Alligator mississippiensis: one gene and its partner. The protein of the gene in region 1 binds, or shares a complex with, the protein of each later gene. Links are inferred from orthologs where the notes say so. Each region holds a gene or a part of one and is shown on either strand. Other genes may lie near its edges. The genes, in order: ING3 and ANP32E.

Region 1 (10,466 bases):
GTATGTGCATCTGAGTTGAACCCAGATCTCCTGCATGACAGGCAAGGATTCTATCACTGAACCATAACAGTGGGTTCATGCTACCTGTAAGCACTGCAAAAATAAAATTGCTATTCTTACTTTAAGTCCTTTTGGGAAATGGCCCTCTGTAAATCTTGAAGACAAGTCAGTTATTCAAATGCTCCACTATGCACGATGTCTTCTTGGGCAAAAAACCACTAGCTTACAACGTAAAGGCCTGAAGTCACTAATTCTTTTTCCAGACAATGAGGTCTTCACATGACTGACAGTGACTTTTTTCAACATTAAAAAAAATCGTTAGGACCTTTGTCTGTGCTAATACCATTGAGGCCAGATAAGATGTCAAGTGAAAAGTGAATCCCTTTGAAGTGTGTCATGCCTCTAGAAGGTTGTCCTTAAAGTAAAGGCAAGCACCCTTTTTCGTGTGGGTAACTGGAACCCAAGAGAACGGGGGGTGACTTTTCTACCCTTGCTTTCTCAAATCTTCAAAGGAGTTACTCTCTAGTGCACAAGCTTCTTCTTGACCATCCATCCACTCTGGATGGAAAGCCAGAAAGACAATAAATACTTCACTTGAAAAATCTCCACTTCAAGGCTCAAAAGTCTGGATACAATTCAGCTGAGCTTCAATATCGCCATGGTTATCTCAAATGGAATAGTTGTAACCTGCTACTTACACTTTTTCCATTACTGCTTGGTGGCAAGAAATACCCCTTCATTAGCTGGTGCAAGATATGATCCAAGAGCAGCTCAAATTCTAATGGAGAGAAGTTTTTGGCCAGGTGCTCGAGTCGCAGCACCTGCAGATTTCTGAGCCATCACTAACTTAGGAGTCAGCTGACTAAACAGTTGTTCAAAATGTGGAAATATGGAATTCTGCACTGCCAGAAGATTCTTCTGGTTTATCTATAGCATTTAACTGGTGGGAATCCTCACAAGTACTTAGACCAGAAGAGATGAGAAAGGAGCCTGAAATTTCTACAATGCTTAAAGATGCTCTCTCTTGCTATGCAAAAGTTACTGGGAACACAAGGTGCATGTCAAAACATTTCCTACAGACTTCCAGGGCCTAAATGTTGTGTTTATGAAGGCACACAAGGTTCTTTAGGTAAATGTGATATCTTGTATTAGACCAGGGGTGGGCAAAATATGGCCCATGGGCCAAATCCTATCTGGCCTGTGGAGCCCCTAAAAAAAATTTAGAAAATTAATATTTGTCTGCCCCAGCTGTCTGTCAAAGATGACAACAGCCAGGGGCAGTAGGACCCAGGGGAAGCCCCAGCAGGCTCCTGCAATAGCAGGGTCCACCCAGACCCACCCCACAACCAGAAGCCCCTGAGAAGGAAATTCAGGTAAAAAGAGGAAGTGGGGAAAGTGGTAGTGGGGGCAGGCGTGCAGGAGTGTGGGGCCTATGCCAGTGTCCCGGGGCCAGCGCTGGCAGGGCCCAGAGCAAGTGGCAGGAACATGGGGTGTAGGATGGCAGGGGTCTATGGAGCTGGGCTCCACTGTGCCAGCAGGGAGAGGGGAGCTGGCCCAGCTCCAAAGAGCCCCAGCCAGCTGGGACCCTGCACTCTTGTCGCCTGCTCTGGGCCATGCCGGTGCTGGCACTGGCACAGGTCCCACACTCCTGCCCAGCTGCCACGTGCCTGCTTGCTCCCAGCCCCGTGGCGGGCACAGGTGGGAATGACCGCAAACAGCACTGATCCTGCACACCCTGTGCTCGTCCATCCGGGCTGAGCAACAGCAGCAGCAGGGAGCAAGCCAATAGTTCAGCAAGAGGGAAAAGCTGCCCCTCCCCCTCCTGCTGCCAGCATTCCCTGCCCATTTGGGGCTATCCTGTCTGTCCACCATGTCCCCACCACCCATGGAGCAGTGGTGGCAGTGGAGAGAGAGCACAGGTAGCCCTGTGTGGGCTCCAAGCAGCTGCCACAGGGAGCACCGGTGGTGGGAGGTGAAGCAGCTGCTTTTCTGCCGCTCCAGCAGCTTTTCGTGCTCTGCCACTGCTGCTGCTCAGGCCACTGAGTGAACCTGGAGCCGCTGCGGCGCCCAGGCTGACAACAGCGGTGACAAACAAAGTGCAGCTGAGTGCAGAGGAAAAGCACTCCCCCTTCCGCTGGGCAGTTTGCTGGAGCCTGCTCCACGCTAGGCTCTGCTGTGGCTCTTTTGCCGCCAGCTCTGTGGCCACGTGAAGCAGCAGCACTGGGCAGCACAGAGCCGGCAGCAAAAGAGCTGCAGCGGAGCCTAGCATGGTGTGGGCTCCCCCAGCAAACACAGCCCAGAGGTGGTAAGGGGGGTGTATTTTCATTTGCCCTGGCAGCAGTTCGTGCCCTGCTACTACTCAGCCTGATGGGCGAGCCTGGAGCCAGTGCAGGGCCCAGGCTGGCAGCAGCAGTGAGGAACAAACTGCAACTGAGGGGAAAAGCGGTCCCTCCCCCTCCCGCCACTGGCACTCCCTGCAACATCTGCTTGGAGGCCACGTGGGGCTGCCTGTGCCCGTTCTCCATTGCCACAGTTGCCCCATGGGTGGCAGGGGCACAGAGGAGAGGCAGGACAGCCCTGCATGGGCTCTGGGCGGCTGCCACAGGGAGCACAGGTGGCAGGAGGGGGAATGGCTACTTTTCTCTCATGCTGAGCAGCAGCTTGTTCCCCACTGCCAACGGTGCTCAGCCCACAGGCGAGGGTGGGGCACGTGGGGTCAGGGCTGCTTGCAGTCATCCCTGCCTGTGCCACAGGGCTAGGGCTGGCGGGGCTAGGAGCGAGTGGGTGTGCGCAGCCAGATGGGAGCCGTGGCTTCCGCTACCGGTAGTTACGTGTAGGCAGCAGGGCAGCCCCAAGAGGGAGGCAGCTGGCTCTGTGTGCTCTGTCCTGCTCCCACGGTGATGGATGAGCCCAATAAGGTGCTGCCCATGCACCAGGACCGCGCCAGGCTGGGCAGGACCCTCCACTCCTGCGCACAGCTGAGAACAGGGGGATGCAAGCAGGGAAATGCCCACTTTCCTGCCCACCCGCTGGCCGCTCTGCACCCTGTGTCTCCCATACCCACAATACCATACCCAGAGACATCCCAACAAACCCCCATACCCAACCACACAAAGCTCCCCACAAACCACCTACCCCATACCTCCTGACACCCATGCACACCCGACACAGTATACGACTGTATTTTGAGCTTTTATGCAATCACTTCTACATATATAGCACAAACACACACAAATCAGATAATAATATTTTTTTAAATTAAATTAAAATATATCATTATGGGTGCCTGACTTTTACTATATAATTTATTTCCACCACCACCTTAGATGGCAAACCCTCTTCCCCAAAGGAGTACTTGCAGGGGCAAGGAGAGGGACTTCTGGTGGCAAAGGTCAGAGGTTAAGCAGGTGGGACTTCCAGTCCCAAGATGGTGACCAGGGAGCGGGGCACCTGGCAAGGAACGAAGCTACCCATGCGGACCTCTACAGCTTGCCAAAACTCGGTAAGTGGCCCTCTGCCTGAAATAATTGCCCGCTCCTGTATTAGACCAACTGAGTAGTAGGAAAAATTGTTCTTTGCAAACTTTCAGGCACAAACACCCTTCTTCAGGTTTATCAAGAGTTTCTGTGAAGAGATTTAGTACCTGACACAGCACAAGAGAAAAAAAAAAAAGCATTAAAAGTGGGACTAAAACTTTGAGGATGAATAGATGTGATTTGGCCAGCTCCCCAAACATATTCTGCCACTCATGTGGTCTCAACTTGAGCTTGTTTACTCTTAGTTCTGCCTTACTCTTTAAAAGAACACATTGCCTCATATCATGAGTGGAGTCCCATGGATTTCAAGCACTGTAGCCTGAAAAAGACGGAGCATGGGATGCATAAACGCTATTTGCTGGCAACACAAAGTTTGGAGTTGTGGACTGGGATCTCACCCAGGAAGAACGGGATGATCTCGAGGACCAGAGAAATAGAAATGCTATTTCACAGTCCAGACACCAGCGCAAACACCAAGACCTCGTGCTGTAACTGAGGTGTCAGCCCACAGCAGGCATGAGGTTGCATATGGGTGCCACCAAGGTGACAAGGCAGGTGGGGTTGAAATAGAGTTGCCAACCCTCCAGGAATTGGAGATAAATTTCCAGGAGACTGCTGAGTCACCCAGGAGATAATATTTCTTTTAATAAATGCCCTATCGTTTAAGTGTCAACCTCTGATTTATACAGTTGTCCAGTGGGTTTTTAAAACGCAACAGTCATGTGCATTTGCCTTCCTGACTGTCATTACATCATGTGATGAAGCCTCCTGGAACAGATTCAAACAGACTTGGTGACCCCAAGTAGAAATCAAGCAAGTCCATGCAAAGCAACAACACGGCAATGAAACTGAAGAATAAAACAGGGAGGAGGAGGAAGAAGGAGAAGGAGGGGGAAAAAAAGCTGCAGACAGGACCAGGCAGTGTCGCCCCCTCCTGGGTCTTCTGGTCTCCCACGTGGAGACTCCGCTCAGCAGCTCTCTGCCGCCCCGGGGAAGCGCAGCCTGGCGCTGCTGCCCCCACGCGGGCACCCAGCCGCTGCCAGGAGAAGCGGCAGGGCAGCAGCGCCGCCCCCGGGGACCGCCTGCACGCGGGGCTCCAGCGCTCCGCCCCTCTTTGCGCGCGGCCCCGGCAGCAGCAGCGGCGGCACCGCCTCCCCGCGGGGCAGCGCCCGGGGCCGAGCGTGGGGCGGGGGCTGGAGCTGGGCCCGCCCCCCGCGGGCGGGGAGGAGGGGGGAGGGGAGCGCGGGGCGGGGCGGGGCGGGACTCACGTACTCTGCACCTGCAGGTCCATCTCGCGCATCTCGGTGAACCTGTCGCGCAGATCCATGGGAAGCTGCTCGATCACTGCGGGCACACGGGGGGAGGGGGTCAGCCGCCGCCGGAGGCAGGGGAGCCGCCGCGCCGCCCTCGCCCCCGCACCGCGCCGCCGTCCCCCCCCCCCGCCGCACGCACTCACTCTCCAGATAGTCCTCCAGATACAGCATGGCGGCGGCCGGGCCGGGCCCGCGCCCAGGGGCTCCTCGCTAACGGGCTCGTCCCTTCCAATATGGCGCCGCCGCCAACAACGCCAGCAGCTCGACTCAGCGAAAACAACATTGGCGGCGGCGGGCACTCGCCTTAACCGCGTTGCGATTGGCTGCCGCCCGCGCTGACGTACCCGGGCCCCGCAGCATCCTGGGACGTGTAGTCGCGCTGGGGACCCCGGCGGGGAAGGGGGCGGGGACTACATGTCCCAGGAGGCTCCGCGCCCAGCTGGGGCCTCATCCCGCGCGGCAGGACAGTGGAAGTTCTTGCGGTGCCAAGTGCAGGGCGGCAAAGTGGAGCTTCTCAGTGACTCGCTCGTATTCCTGCCCCAAAGGCCTGAAGCACATCTGAATGGGTCACGTTTTTTTAGGAGGAGCTCAGCTTTTCATATATTTCTAGCCCTCATAGTTGACATAGGGTTTTTCCCTCCTGGAAGTTGGAGTTGCTACCTCTCAATCTCTTTTGGAGGTGCCCCCGCTCCTGTTCCTGAGAGCTCTAGCTCCTGGGGTCATGTTATTTCAGGAGGATCTCAGCTTTCAGTTTTTTACATATATTTCTAGCCCTCCTGGTTGACACTAGGGTTTGAATTACGGGGGGGTCCCCATAAGAGACAAGAGCGCCCCCCCCCCAAAAAAAGATGAGGGCCCCCAGCCCACCCCGTGCCTTTCTAAGCACTTAAGGCAACGGCAGTGGCTTCTTCCAGCTTCCGGCTGCCACTGCCACAGACCCCCCACACAAAGAGTCAGAGTGTCATTCAAACCCTGGCTAACGCATCGCACCACATGTTAAGCCCCCCACATTCTTCAATGCAAAAAAGTCCTTGGAGCAGAGCTCCATAGTAGGTTTCATTGCATTCACTGCCTTCATCAATCACTTCTGCGTTCAGAATTTGCCACCCAATTTCTGCAAATATTCCTACAATAGCGCAGAATTCTGGGGTATATGAGACAGAACTGGAAGTCAATCTAAATTTGCTGCTTTTGATGTGCCTGAGGTACTGAATCAAAGTGCCTTAAAGCCTCCCTTGCCCCCCATCTGCTCCCCAAAATTAGAAGCTACATAAAAGGAACCTGAAATACAGTATTATTTAAAATCTTACAATTTGCATATGTGTTAAACAAGGTTTCAAGCACAAAATGCCCTTTTCAGGCATGAGAATAAAGTCAACATTTTTGTGATATATATACATTTTTGGTTGTTGTTATTTCTTAATATGTAAGATTGATAATATGACACTAATACCACATGAGATGACAATATATATAACTTGCACACTTTTTTTTGTACAAATGCCATGCAGTATGTACCCATTTCATATGCTGTCATGAATAGCTCCTTTTTCATATCTAATGGTACACTGGTGTATATAACAAAACATGAAATGGGCCTGACATAAAGTCAGTGGACTGCGATTAACTTCTGTGAGCTTTGTATGTACATCCAATGTCTGGTCCAGCAAAGTTGGTGCTTGAGTATCACTACCTTAATACTGGTAACATTGGCTTCATTCAGCAATATCAGGACCTGTACATGGCCTTCAGTGAGCTTACTAAGGCCTCTGATTGTGACCACCAGTCACAAACCCCTGTGGAAAGTACTGACTTCTGAAAAGTTCTTCAAGGTTCTACGCCTTCTCCATGACCAGACGACTACGAGCAGTCTTTGCAGCAGATCAGAAACAGATCCATGTGTCATCTGAACTGCAGTCGAGCAAGGATGCATCGTTACTCTAATGCTGATCTCCATTTTTTTGACAGTCATCCTGGTTCTCATTAAGGACCACCTTACTTCCAGAACTGACACTGAATATCAAACGGATGGAGTACTCTTCAATTTGGGATGTTTTCCCTCAAAGACCAAAGTTCTGAAAACATCCACCTTCTGACAAGTGTGCCATCCTTGCATACATTGAGGAAAACCTCCAGACCACACCAGATCTCTTTGCAAAAGCCTACCGAACTTTGGGTCTCCCTCTCAATATCGAGAAGAAGTGGTCTATCAGCCCATTGCAGGCCATGAATATGACCCAAATTACCATTGAGGGAAAGACCTAGGAGGTATTCAAGAACTTCCCCTACCTCAGTAGCTACCTCTCAGAGAGTGAACACTGATGAGGAGATCCAGCACAGCATGGGCAACTGGTGCCGTCTTAGTCAGGGGGGGCACGTGCCAGTGACCAGTCAGCAATCGCAGCCAATCTTGCCACCTGGGGGGTAAGAGTTCCCCCGCAGAAAAACTTGCTGACCTGGAAGTGGCTGCAGTGCTTCTGGAAGTGGCCATGGTGCTACATCGGCTCCCCCACTCTCTGGCCAGCATTTGCAGGGGGTACATTGGTGCTCCTGCCTGCCACCCCCCCCCCCGGCCCCCCGCTCATTGCCTAAGTGGGGAGTGTGGCTGGTCACAGGGTGCACCAGCGTGCTCAGGGGGTGCACATGCACCCCCATTCACCCGCTATGTGTTGCTACTGCAGCACGGGATCTGGTACACAAGTGCCTCCCTTGGAAAATTGCTGCAGCCTATCTTTATTCACTGTGATCTCCAGAAAGACACCGAGATCCAGGTCTACAATGCAGTCATCATTCCCACTTCTCTCTATGGATGTGAAATGAGAATGACCTACCATTGTCATCTCAAGAGCCTAGATAGGTATTACCAATAATGCACCTGGAAAAATTCTCCACATCAAATAGGAAGATTGCCATACAAACACCAGCATCCTTGCTAAAGCCAGTGTTACCAGCTTGAGTCAGTAATCCTCAAGCACCAACTTCCCTGGTCTGGGCATTGTGTGTGGATGTCTGGCTCTCAGCTTACAAAACAAGTGATCTACTCCCCGTTCACTTATGGCCTGAGAGATCGCAGTGACCAGAGGAAATTCTACAAGGACACATTAAAGGCATACCTGAACAAATGGATGACAGCATCAAGAGCTCGGAGCAGCTGGCTGCCAACAGACTCCAGTGATGCCACAGCCTCAACCAAGCAGTTGCCTGTTTCAAGGTAAAGCATCCTGCCCTCAAAGCAGACGAGAGAGCAGAGGAAGGAAAAGGAGAGGAACTCCAGGCTATGGCCTGTTCTGTCCTGTAGAAAGTTTGCAAGCCGTCCCACTTGTATGTCCTCTGTAACTTGATTGAGAAACTTGCTGTTCCTTCAGATTATTAATAAAAATGTCAAACAGTACAGGATACATAACAGACCCCTGTGAGACTTTGGGCTGTTCTGACATTGATTCATTTATAGTAACTCTCTTCTTGTGGTTATTTAGCCAGTTATGTTTCGACTTAGCAGTGATTTTATCTAGCCCTTATTTCTCTAATTTACTTATAAGAATGCCATGTAGGACCTACCAAGACCTTACTAAAGTCAAAGTACATTATGTCTGTCAAACTAGTTATCCTGTCAAAGAAAGGAATCACAATAGTTTGACATGTTTTGCACTTAGCAAATACATGCCAGATACTAGTGATCACCTCTTCTTCCTTCAGGTGTTTACAAACTGGCTGTTTTATTGTTTATTCCAGTAACTTCCCAGGTATTGAAGTCAGGAAAGCTGATCTGTAATTTCCCACCCCCTTTTTAGAGATGGGTATTATGTTAGTCCTTCTCCAGTCCATTGTGGCAGAACAGATACTTTTCTTGTTTTTAAAGAGTTTTGATGTATAACTAGTTAAAATACATTTGAATTTTAAATCTCAGACATATTTTTTTTTTATCTGGGATATGTGGAAAATAGTTTTCTTTTCACTATTTTTGGACAAACATTATGTAAAAAAAAAAAAAAAGACATTTTAAAAAGTCCTATATTGTGGTGACCTACAGAGGCTTTTCTAAAAAGGTCTGAGAACAATGAATGTTGATTTCTTCAAGAAAGATTGCATTTAAGCATTGGTGATGCATAGAGGTGCACCGCCTGAGAGAAGTGCCAGCAGCATTTCTGGTTTTGCCGCCGGCACTTCCACATGCATTTAAGCACCCATTTTTCATACACATCCCACCCTTGGCCATTCTGCAAAGACATCCAATGACTAACAGTTGGTATCTTCTGGCATTTCTGTGGTGAGTACATTTATACATGGAAAATTGGATTGAGAGCATTGGCTAATTCCATGTCAGTCATTGAACAGTTGTTAGGTAGAAATTACATCATACTTTTGCAATTAACCAGAAGGCCTAGATCAGTGATTCTCAAACTTTTTAGACTTGAGGCATCCTCAGAAAATGCCAGCTTTCAGCTTTCACTCATTTTTTACTACAAAAAAAATAATAGAGCAATTCTTTCATTGCAAATAACTCAGAAAAACTGCAATAAGAATCCTCTTGACACTATGAATTCCTATTCGAAATCTCTGGCTTTATCTAATGAATCATTTGTGGGTGTTTACACACCTAACAGTGCTAGTATTGCATGGAACCCTGTGGCACCCTTAAAAGAATGTCATGACACTCTAGGGCAGGGGTGGGCAATTAGTTTGGGTGGAGGGCTGCTTACTGAGTTTTGGCAAGCCAACGAGGGCTGCATGATAGGCAGCCAGAGGCAGATAAATATTAATTTTCTAAATGTTTTAATGGCCCCGCGGGCTGGATAGAATGGCCTGGCGGGCCGTACCCAGCCCCCAGGCTGCATTTTGCCCAACCCTGCTTTAGGATGCCACAGCAGCATGGTTGAGAATCACTGTCCTAGATGACAAGCTCTGTACCATATTGCTTACAGGAAACACCCCATTGTCCAAGTGCAATGCATGGAGCTAAAATGACAAATATTGATGATTGTCATGAGACATTTTAAGATAAATGAGGAAACCCATTTTCATAAAATCATAGAAGTAGGGTCAGAAGGGACCTTGTAGATCTTTGAGTCTGACCCCCTGCCTGGGCAGGAGGAAAACTGGGCTCAAAAAATTTTACTTATAAAGTCCTTCATATATAATCTTAACCAGCTGCTTTGCATTATTAAATATAAGTTCAATTCATTGAATGCATTGAATTCTACAGAAAGGTCACAGTGTTATCAACCTCTGATTCTAAAATGACGATATAAAATTAACTTAAGTAATTAATTGAAGAGCAGCTATAAGTTGTCAGAGAACTCCATTAAATGAGAGCAAGCTAGTTAAATGAGTCATTTTCATTACAGAAGGAATAGCATGCCGATACTTAACAAAAATGAGACAGGAAAGGAAGCCTGTTTCTACACAAAATTGTTTCTACACAATTTGTTGTGCAGGGGACTAAGACTCTGATCCTTTCTGCAGCTGAGGATTGATGAATCTTTATCTACTCACTGAAGTCAAAGGGCTTCACATTAAAAGAAAACTCAGCCCAAAATCTTAGGTTAAGATAGTTGTATCCTGTTTTCTTTAGAGAAAAGCTGAATGAGTTTTGGGAAATTTGGGGACATGAAGTCAT
Region 2 (10,480 bases), on another chromosome or scaffold:
TGCAAGTCAAGCGTGTCGGGAATATGATAGGCCTAAGATCCATCTGTTTAAGGTTGATAATTCTGTTTCCCTAGTTTTATTAAATGAGTTGAAAACTATATAATCTTGAGAAGTTAACTAACTAATCACAGGGACAGTTCTATGATTATTTACTAGGTCCTTTTCTTTTCCTTCCTCTTTAAAACTGCTTCTTTAAATTTGCTTCTTCACCTATTACACGTCTCTGATTGTACAATTAAAATTAAACAATACAAATAAAATAAGCATTTATTTGTTAAGTACTTAGAATTTATTTTTTGTTTCACGCGTGCTTCGTAGTACTTATTGCTGACACTTCGTTGGCAACAGTCATTTAGCTTGCTCCACCCCACTATGCAAATGACCATCATTATAAATTATGTACCTTATTTAAATTTTCTCATGTGAACCAGAACTGAACCAGTTGGTTGTGTGTGCCGAACCGGTTACTGAACCTTTATTGGCCTGAACCAGAACTAAACTGGAACAACTTCAGTTGCAGCTGAACCTGAACCAGAACTAAACTAAAAAATTTAATGTTCGACCCTGCTTTCATTTACTGTTGGAGAGCGCGTTGGGGTGGGCCTGCCCTGGTCGGCTGCAGGACGCAGCCCTGCTCTAAGCCAGCGACCTGAATCCTGCTGCGTGAGACATCAGGGATTGGGGTCAGGCTGAGGTTTGGGGCAGGGACAATTCGTGAGCCCCAAACACATTGTACGGTGTTGTGGTGCGATTACTGCAGGTTCTGCAAGAAAGGAAGAGGTCTCCGCTGCGCTTCTACTGGGCCCCACGCAGGGGATCCTGCCTTGAGGGCACCAAGGGCAGCTTAGGCAGGCACCACCTTGAAGCCTCAAAATCTCCAGAAAGGGAACAGGTCCTGGGGGCCAGACACCCTGAGAAGTCAAGCTGGATCTCCCCTACCTACTACATTCACTTTTCTTATCTAATATGTAAACTACTTTTATCTAACACCACGGCCCTTCTGTGGGGCAGCTGCAAACCACAGCGCCCCTGACAGCACCTCCAAGCACTTGCTGCCTTACATAATGTCATGGCTACGGTCCTGGGTGATGATGTGACTAGTCTCAGGTCCGTAGGGATGGCCAACGGGCTGGAGGGCGGTTTCTCAGCCCCCCACTCACACACACTGGACAATTGGACCACATGTACGCCCGAGTGAAGGCTCAAGCGACCACACTCCTGTGTAGGTGGGAAGGTTGCACATGAAGCTTGTACCTGAGGAGAGGTGCAAGAGTGCTCTGGAGCCGCGTGCCCAAGGGCCAGGGTGAAAAGTGATGCTGAGACAGTGAGTTTGTGCGATTGGCTCGCCAGGCAGCAAAGGCATGGGGGTGGCAGGAAGGAAAGCCAAGCTGCTCCCTAGCACCTGCTGTGAGAATTCTTCTCTGTGTCCTATAGCTGTTAGTACGGTTGGTGTATTGCTTCATTGATTTTTTTTTTTTTTTTTATTGTTCCTGTTGTTCAGTATATTGATGATTCCATGGGCAACTGCTGGCTCCTGATACCAGGGGGGCACCAACAGCCAAATGCCGACTGGAACCCGGGGGGGGGGGGGGGGGGGGGGGAGTTCCCAGCAGCCAATCGCCACTTCCAGCAGCAGCGCCAGCAGCAAACCCAGAAGTGCCACCGACACTTCTCTTGGCACCCCCACAATCTCAGGGGGCACCAGCTAGCACCCCCCACTCCCCAGCCAGCAAGGGCCAATCTCAGGGGGGGCATGTGCCCCCAACTACACATTGCCTATGGTTGATTCCCCTCTATTTTGTGTCAACATTTATTACTAATTATTTTAGTGGTGAGTGGGACCAAACTGCAGGCCTATGCTCAGTGAGGGTTCGCCCCCACCCCTTTTTATTTACTGTTGAGCTAGTTAATCCCCAAATTCGTGTGTTTGGCATTAATGCTAATACAACAGCCAAATTGAAAAAATTGAAGGTCTGTTTTTACACTAATTTGCCCCAAACCCCAAGCCTAAGGCAGGCTGAGTGGGGAAAGCCAGCAGGGGAACTATCAAGGCTTCTGTTCCCAGGCCTACCGCTGACTCGCATGGACACGGGGTGGGCACCAGATATATTTGTGCCTTTGTTTGCCCATCTGTAAAAGCTGTCTAATAGCACATCCTTGTTTTTTTAATGTTTTAGGGTCATTGCATGGCAAGATGTCACGGCTTTCCAAGTCACCTTCCCATAGAAAGAAAAAACTTTCTTCTCTTTTCTAGACTAAATAATCCCCGTTCCTCCAGCCTTTCCTCTTATGTTAGTGCTTTCCAGACTTTTAACCATTCTGGTTTGGTCTCTTCTGGGTTCTGCCCAGTTTGCCCACATCTTTCTGCAGGTGCTGGGCTCCAAACTGTGGTAGGTGAGGACCGCCCTGAACAAGAACTCACTTCATGCTGCACGTCTATGAACATAACCTAGGATGGCATTGCTTTCATACAAAATCATGCCGTTTACCCACATCAGCTTGCAATCCACTTGAACCGTAGCTCCTTCTCCACATGGCTTTAGCCTAGACAGTCATTAGTCTGTATTTGTGTATCTGATTCTTCTTTCCTCACTTGCCCTCGCTGAATTGCATCCTAATTCTTTAAGACCATTTCTCAGCTTTATCCAAATCATTTTGAATCTTAGTCCCGTCCTGCTGGAGGTTATCTGCAAATGCACAAAGCATGCACTTCATTCAACTGGTATTTGAACAGTACTGGACCAGAACGCATCCTGGAGGGCTCCACTCAATGCCTCCTTCTACTCTTTATATGCAATTATCCAATCAATTATGCGCCAACTTTGTATTAGTTGCACCTAGATGATATTGCCTTAGTTTGCTCGAGATAGTGGCACAGGAGCCTGTATCAAAAGCCATACTAAAAACAAGCGGTACATGGCATCCACTGCCTTCCCCCACCCCACGCACACCAGGCTCATTTACCTTGTCAGAGAAGACAATCAGATTGGTTACACCTGACTTGCCCTTAATAAAATCATGCTGTCACTTATCAGCTAGTTCTCTTTTAAGCGGTTACAAGTCTTTTTTTAATATATACATGCCCTCCAGCGTCTTCCCCAGCACTAAAATTAGACTGCTCTGCAATTTGCTGCATCTTCCTTTTCCCCTTTTCTAAACTACTGCATTTGTCCTCTTCCAGCTCTGAGACCTCACCTCACCTCTCAAACATAATAGGTCAATGAGCCTGCAATTAATTCAGCTAATACTTTGAGTGCTCTAGGATGAATCTCATCAGGTCCTGCTGGTTTGAAAATGCTAAGCTTACTGAAATAATCCCCAAATTGTTCTTTTCCTCCTCTGGGCTCACAGCAGTTCTCCCCTTTCTTGATGCTAATTGTGCTTGTCAACCTTTTCTGGGGAAATTTGATGAGAAAAAAGTATTTCAACCCTTTCTTCATCTGTCTAAGGATAGACTCCAGCAAACTCCTTTGCTCCTTGCCGTAGCTTCCCCAAAGAAACAGCATTGCTAAATTAGCATCAGTGCATTTCTTTGAAGAACGAACCATTTGCTTTAAGTCTGAGCTCTAGTGACGTTGATGATTCCCACCGTAACACTTGGGAAAAGGCCCATTATATTTCCAGTCAAAATCGTTTGCAGCTCTTCTACGTCTACGAAATCTCTCTCTGCCACAAGACCAAAAGATCTCACAGACAAAGCAAGAAGCTTAACACCCTGCCAGATGCTTTTGCAAACACAAGCAAGGGCTAGGCTTCTTTATTATACCCCAACCCTGTTTTCAGTGTTTCAGGGCACTGCCATCTGATAACGCAAAGCTACATATAACCTAGGAGAAAGGGCAGGACGGTGCCTTTCTCTAAACCAGTGGTTTCAATCTTCACTCGCAGCACCCCTCATTAGACCCGAGGCCCCCCCATAGAAGATGCCAGCTCTTTGTTTTCACTCATTTTTTGACTGAAGTAAAACCATGAAAAGTAATTCTTCTGTTGCAAAGAGCTCAGAAAGATCAATCAGCACGGACAAGGCAGAGCCGTTCTTAATGTTAGATCCCCATTTGAAATCTCTAGTTTTTTCTTGTGAATCTGGTTTGCTGTGGCCCCCCGATTGAGAATCGAGCTCTAGACCCTTTTCTCAGACCGTGGCAAAACCTGCCGCCACCTCTGAACTATCACCAAGAGGTTTTTTTCTTTGTTTTTTTCTTGACACCCACATTGTTAACTGCTGTCTAGGTCTTCATGGCCCAGTACCTACTGCAGCCTAATCTCTGGTCTTCTTGACAGGTCAAATCTCTGCTGCTCAGTGAACCCCGACCACACTATTCTCTTTCCTTAGAAGCTTCACCGCTACACCCGTCACGAGCTTGCAGTCCTTGTCTTCACGGCATTTATTGTTTCGGTTCTCTCATCGTACCAGTCCCTCGCACTAATCAAGGATGCCAGCCTGCATTGCCCGTTCCCCCTGAACCCGAGAGATGGTGAGGCCACAAATTTGGCAGCCTTTCTGAGCACTTTTGCTGCCCTTGCACGCCCCAACAACTGGGTATTTCCACAGCAGTGAACTAAACCCACGGTTCTCAATTTTTCTAGACGTCAGGCGCCCCTTAGAAACTACTGATTTCACCCGAGTGGTTTTTTTTGTCAAATGACAAATCATTTTTGCCTTGTCGCAAAGCGCTGAGAAAGCCCCCAACACCGCAACGATTTGAACTCTGTTGATTCCTGTATGAAAGCCCCTATGTTTCTCTTCTGGTGAATCACGCGTGCACGCCTAACAAGGCTAAACACTACCCGGCACGCCGCAGCACCCTCAAAAGCGACACCCCAGGATGCCGCGTGCCCTAATCAAAGCAAAAGGGCTTCGTTTGGGAATTGGGACCGGAAGCCAGCAGGTCCCAACACCACCCCTCCTCTTTCAAGCCCTTTGCACAAGTATCTGCCAGTTCCTTGCAGCAGTTTAACTAAATACACGTGTTATCTTTAGCCCGTCATGCTGCTAATCTCTGCCTTCGCACCTAACATCTACACAGGTCCCTTTTTTTGTTTTTAGTGCCCGTAACACTTCATTAATCTGCTTCTAGACACCCAGGCCTAACCCCCACAGACCAAACCACCAGAACCGCGTGGCGCATAATGGCGCCCAACCGCCGCCAACGGTCGCATTTAAAAGCTCGGAGCCTCGACGGGCGTCCGGCGGAGCCAATCGGCCGCCGCCGCGCGCCGCGCCGCTCCTCCAATGGAAAGCGGCGCATCGAGAGGAAGCGCTCGCCCCTTCCTTGGCCCCGCCCCGCCGGCCGCGGGGGGCGTGTCCTGGGCGAGGGGGCGCCGTGCGCCATGTCATGGAGGCTCAGTGCGCGCCCGGCTACTGAGCAGCGCGGAGCTCCGGCCGGCGGCGGCGGCGGGGGACGGCGGCGCGGGGGGCGGCGGCCCAGCTCTCCCTGCCCGCGCGGGCTCGGCCATGGAGATGATGAAGCGCGTGGTGCTGGAGCTGAGGAACCGCGCGCCCGAGAAGGTGAGCACGGGGCCGCCATGTCGCGGCGGTGCCCGGCGCTGCGCGTGCCCCGACCCGGCATGGAGGAGCCCCGGGCCCCAAAACACCCCTCCTCGGCGTGCTCCTTACTACGCATTTGTGCCTTATGGTGCATTCTCCTAATTATTCACCTCCCGGCCGTGTGTTATTATTATCATCATTATTATTATTATTATTATTGCAACGATAAGATTTTTTTTGGACTGGCCAAAGGCTTTTTCTGCCCGCTGCGCTGCTTTTCGAAAAGTGAAGGAGGGCTGGGAGCCCCTCCGCTGGGCACGGGCTCGCTGCGATCGCTGCTGCGGGCATCTGCTCTCCTTATTCGGCTGATTTTGGGGAAATTAGGAACTTGCTTTTCTTTTCCGCCTCCCCCTTTTTCCTTCGGTGAACTCCGAATCTGGGTCAGCCACCGCGATGCGCCCGCCATAAGTTTCTCGGTTGTGTTTGGGGGTGAGTTTTGGGGGGGAGGTGTTAAAGGATCCTTTTTAAAAATAAATGAATAAATCGACAGCTGCTTTTCTTTGGGGTGGGGAGAAGCCCGAAGTCGCGTGCCCCCCGCTCGCCCATCCCTCCCGCGCTGGCATTGCTGGCAGGATGGGTCTTCATTTATTTTTAACTTCTCGCTGGTGGAGGTTGTAAACAGGTCGTAGTGGCACCGAATCCATCTTAAAAAAAAAAAAAAAAAAAGATCACACCATCTGGGTAGATCCGACTTTGCTTTCCTCCAGCCGGCGATCGGAGAGGATCAGAAACCCTCTTTTCGTCAAAATTGGCCTGTGTCTCGGCTGACGTTTGGGGCTGTTTATTCAGGATTGGATCTATTATTACTTATCGTTATTATGATGATGGTGATGATGATTCTCTTCTTTCTCCTTCCCACCTCCACCCTCCCCGAGTTTTTTCAGCTCTGCCCAGAGAGCACATGATGGGGTAATGGCACCCTCCTCTCCTTCCCTTGCAGCCACACGGCTTATAACCGGCCTTCCTAATGGCTAAAGGCAGATAAGGCGATTGCTGCTGGGTCCTGCTCAGTCATCGGAGACAAGATAGGCTCCTGGCCGGTCCCTCCACCCACCGAGAGCAGTCAGGTTCGCGGTTGGGAGGTCATGAACAACGCAGGAGGGCTCTTCTCCCTGCCCGCCATGCAGCTACAGTCAGGTAGCTCCTTCCCTCCGCGAACTCGGCGCTGGGAGTGGTGCTCCAGTGTTGCAGAAAATGCCATCCCCTGCCGCTCCGGCGTGACTTCAAAACAAAAGTCCCGTGCAAGCCAGTGATGGCAAAACTTTATGGGGGGGGTTCTTTTTTTTTCTTTTTTTTTTTTTTTTTTCAATCCTCTTCCTTTGACGTCAAGTCCAGAAACGCAGCGCGAGGGGGCCAACGGCATCTTGAAAGTATTTCTCTTAACTTTTTAATCCCGAGCCATTTTGGTTCTGGCCAGCCTCAAGGCACTCGTGCTTACAAAAACAAATCGAGATGCGCAGAATTGAGATGTGATGTCTGAAGAGGCTTCGTCTATTGTTAAACGTACTTTTTTTCCACCCCCACCCTCCCCGAGGTGGCTGTAGGCAGGTGGTTATCTGATGCATGTTTTTTTCCCCTGCTGCGCAGGGAAAGATTGTGGCTGCGCTTTGCTTTTTAGGAGAGGGTCGTGGTTTTAGTTAATCTCCTGTAGTAATTTCATTGACTGCAGTGCCAGCTGCATGGAGAGCAGGCTGATCAACTTGCAGCCTCCGCTTCCCTGCTGTTAAACTCGGCCAACAAATGATTTGTCGCTCCAGCAGATGTTTTTGCATTTAGGTCAGTAAGGACGCTATCGACTGGCGTGTCTTGCTCTCCCCAAGAATAAAGTCCAGATAGGTTGATATTGCAAAGTGCTTTTACTCCACCCCAGCCTGGGTGACTGATTGCACAAAGATTCCCTGCATAAAAACTACTACTCAGATAAACAGTATATTTTTTAACAAGTTGACTGTGTTGGATTATTTTTTTAAAGCCTTTAAACTGTGGCTGGAGTTACCCCCCCCCCCCCAAATGGTTTTAGTCTTTCCCTTTTCTTCAGGGCAAAACCTGAACAACTTTGGGACTTGGAAACCACAAAACAATTCAAAGCTAGTCTCTCTGGTCAACTTTTTCTGCAGCAACATGAAATAAGATTGTAAACTTGAAACAAATGAGCAGCTCATGCCCACCAAAATAACTCAGAAGTCGCCAGTGAACAAGTGACTTTTTTAGTCATCTCTACAGATGACTCTTTCAGAGCTGAACTTCCCAGACTGGTGTTGCATTTAATCCTTTTCATTTGCAGCCGGATTGGTAAAATAGCAACTGTGGTCAGCCCACTTGTGGGGACATGGAGGACAGACAAGCAGAAAATGGATTTTTCCCTGCAAGATGTTCAGCGACACAGAGTAAATGCATCTAGAATGAAGAAGCAAATGCTTCAGTCTGGTGCATTATTAACCTATGATACTCCCTGCCTCAGTATTTTGAGGGTCAAAGCTATAGGGTTTACAAGAGGATTTGGTGCTTTTTTTCTGGCAAGTGAGGCTATACCCCCTTATTTTAAATAGTGAATGGGAATATAAACCCTCATCTGGGCATGAAGCAACCATTAAGTGATGGCTATGGAAGGAAACTATATGGGTAGGTCATTCTGTAATTGCCTAGTTGGCTTTTGGCTCCTTGCTTCTTCTGATGCATCTGTTCCTGGCTTTCATCAGAACCAGGACCATGGGTTTTTGTCCGGCCCTGTAAAGGACTGCGATTGTGAACTCTGTCTTGGTGGTTGTGCTTTCTGAAGCCAGCATGTTAACAAATAAATTAAGTTTTTTATCTTCTGGTTCTCTGTGATGGTGCTTCATACTCTGTTTACTTCCTCTCAAGGTTGATATGGTCGATGAGTTCAGACAACTCAAGTTCAGGTCTTCCCAGATGAGAAGCAAAGCCTGTCGTCAGGCTGCTGGTTTGACCCGAATTGCTTGCTTGGTTGAGGGTCCCTATTAAAGTAATAAGTGACATTCTGTTTTGTTTCAAGGTGACAGAGTTAGTGCTTGACAACTGCCGATCCAGCAATGGCGAAATTGAAGGTCTGAATGACTCCTTTAAAGAGCTGGAGTTTCTCAGCATGGCCAACGTAGAGCTGACATCCCTGGCCAAGCTCCCCACCTTGAGTAAGCTCCGAAAGGTATGCATCTTCAGACAAAAACCCATCCGTTCTCTCCTGCCAAAGTTGTATACCTTGAAACACACCAACAGTTAAACTACTTGCAAACGTGACTGTGACTATGGAAATACGCATCTCATTGAAATGTTTTACTAAACATTGCTAACTTAAGAATTAAGTCTTTAAGACCCTGAATGTAATTAATGCTGGTTTCAAACATTAATGAGCCAAAGTACTGAAAAAGTATCACTTGAAAACTGTGTTAACGATGGCCATCCCATTCTGTTGTAAAGAGAGGGGGTCGGGAGCAATCACATTAGGTGAAGTGCTGGGAACACTGAAGTCATTGTTCGTTACCTGTAAGGAACCAGTTTCAACCTAGTCTGTTGACCTAAAGCCTGTACAAAGATCCAATGCTATGTTTCACATCCCCGTGTAAAAAATAAAGCCTGGAAATATTTTAAGTTTGCACCATACTAAGTATGCTAACTGAGCAGTTGGAATCGGTGAGATCACTTGCCGACTTACAGTAGAACATGCTTAAGTGTCTGTAGGCACCCAAGTATGAAACTAGTTAATGAATTATCACTATCAAGTGCAGGTGTGAAGAGCTTCTGAAATAAATGTTAGGCTCTGAAGAGACGTACATGTGATCAACATGGGTTGCTATATTTTTAACCAGACTTCATTTTATGCAAGTAATCTGAGGTTTTACGGGCTCTACAGGAAGTCAATAGTCTTGTGATGCATTTGTTCTTTCAATAAAATACAGGCTCTTGATTTTGATAGCAATCAAACCAACCATCTAATTATCCAACTTTTGTGCGCTGTAGCTGGAATTGAGCGACAACGTCATTTCGGGAGGCCTAGAGGTCCTGGCAGAAAGATGTCCAAATCTCACATATCTAAATCTAAGTGGCAACAAAATCAAAGATCTCAGCACTGTGGAAGCCCTTGTAAGTACAAAGTCAGATTCTTAGAAGATTGCAATGCCTTAAAGAAGTCAGAATCTTTCTAGCATTATAAAAGAAAAATAATAATAATTTTATAATTGAATGCAAATGTAAAGTTTGTAAGTGCCTGACGATAGAAGGTCATTGCAAGTAGAAGGGATAAGTACAACAAACACAGTTTAAATAGGAAATCAATAAAACACAAAAAGATAATAAACAAGATGGCATAACTGTGACATTCAACAGAACTGAACAGTATCCAAAAAGTAAAACTCTCACTATTTCCCCAGCCTTGGGTAGCTTTTTGTTGCCAGTTCTGGCAACATTTGAATCTTCTTTTTTTTGAATTTCTGAATCCCACTTAGGCCAGTATTGATTACTCCTATTGCAATAAATGCATCATCCTACGGTTCATTAGAGACAGACTTGTAAAGACACGGTAATAATCAATTTCGTGTCAGCCGTGGGATTTACAGGAGGAAATGTATTCAAACTTGTGGTCTGTCAGCAATAGTTTTGTATTGCCCGTATTTGTTTCCAGTGGTTAAAATGCATTAAAAGACACCGTGATTTCTTTAATAACAACCGATTTATGCTGAAAAAAAAGTTAAACTGCTTGGTTAGTGAATGAAAGGTATCCACAAGACCATTTTTAACAAGTGGTTTGTGGCCTAGTAAAAACAGTTCACAAATTTTTAATTAAGTTTTTGGAAGCAAGGTGCTAATCTTTATGATTAATTTTGCTGTTCTTATTACTAAACACAGGCTAAACAAGTGTTTTAGAAACTTGGTAATGATAGTCTGCCTTGCATCTCACTGGTTCGAGTTGTCACAGAG

Evidence for each region.
Region 2: ING3 (region 1) and ANP32E share a complex: the UniProt entries of both Homo sapiens proteins name them as parts of the SWR1-like complex. The link is inferred for Alligator mississippiensis from reciprocal best matches to the Homo sapiens genes ING3 and ANP32E.

What each region holds. Positions count from the first base shown.
Region 1 is NC_081827.1:46,128,893-46,139,358, forward strand, and holds the start of ING3 (inhibitor of growth protein 3), read right to left. Parts: upstream 5,146-10,466; 5' UTR 5,021-5,145; coding exon 4,993-5,020; exon of another isoform or gene 4,990-4,992; coding exon of another isoform or gene 4,989-4,989; intron 4,881-4,988; coding exon 4,809-4,880; intron 1-4,808. UniProt on the Homo sapiens protein: Component of the NuA4 histone acetyltransferase (HAT) complex which is involved in transcriptional activation of select genes principally by acetylation of nucleosomal histones H4 and H2A.
Region 2 is NC_081838.1:18,367,093-18,377,572, reverse strand, and holds the start of ANP32E (acidic leucine-rich nuclear phosphoprotein 32 family member E), read left to right. Parts: upstream 1-5,354; 5' UTR 5,355-5,455; coding exon 5,456-5,509; intron 5,510-5,670; exon of another isoform or gene 5,671-6,192; intron 6,193-6,602; exon of another isoform or gene 6,603-7,183; intron 7,184-8,561; coding exon 8,562-8,711; intron 8,712-9,523; coding exon 9,524-9,646; intron 9,647-10,480. UniProt on the Homo sapiens protein: Histone chaperone that specifically mediates the genome-wide removal of histone H2A.Z/H2AZ1 from the nucleosome: removes H2A.Z/H2AZ1 from its normal sites of deposition, especially from enhancer and insulator regions.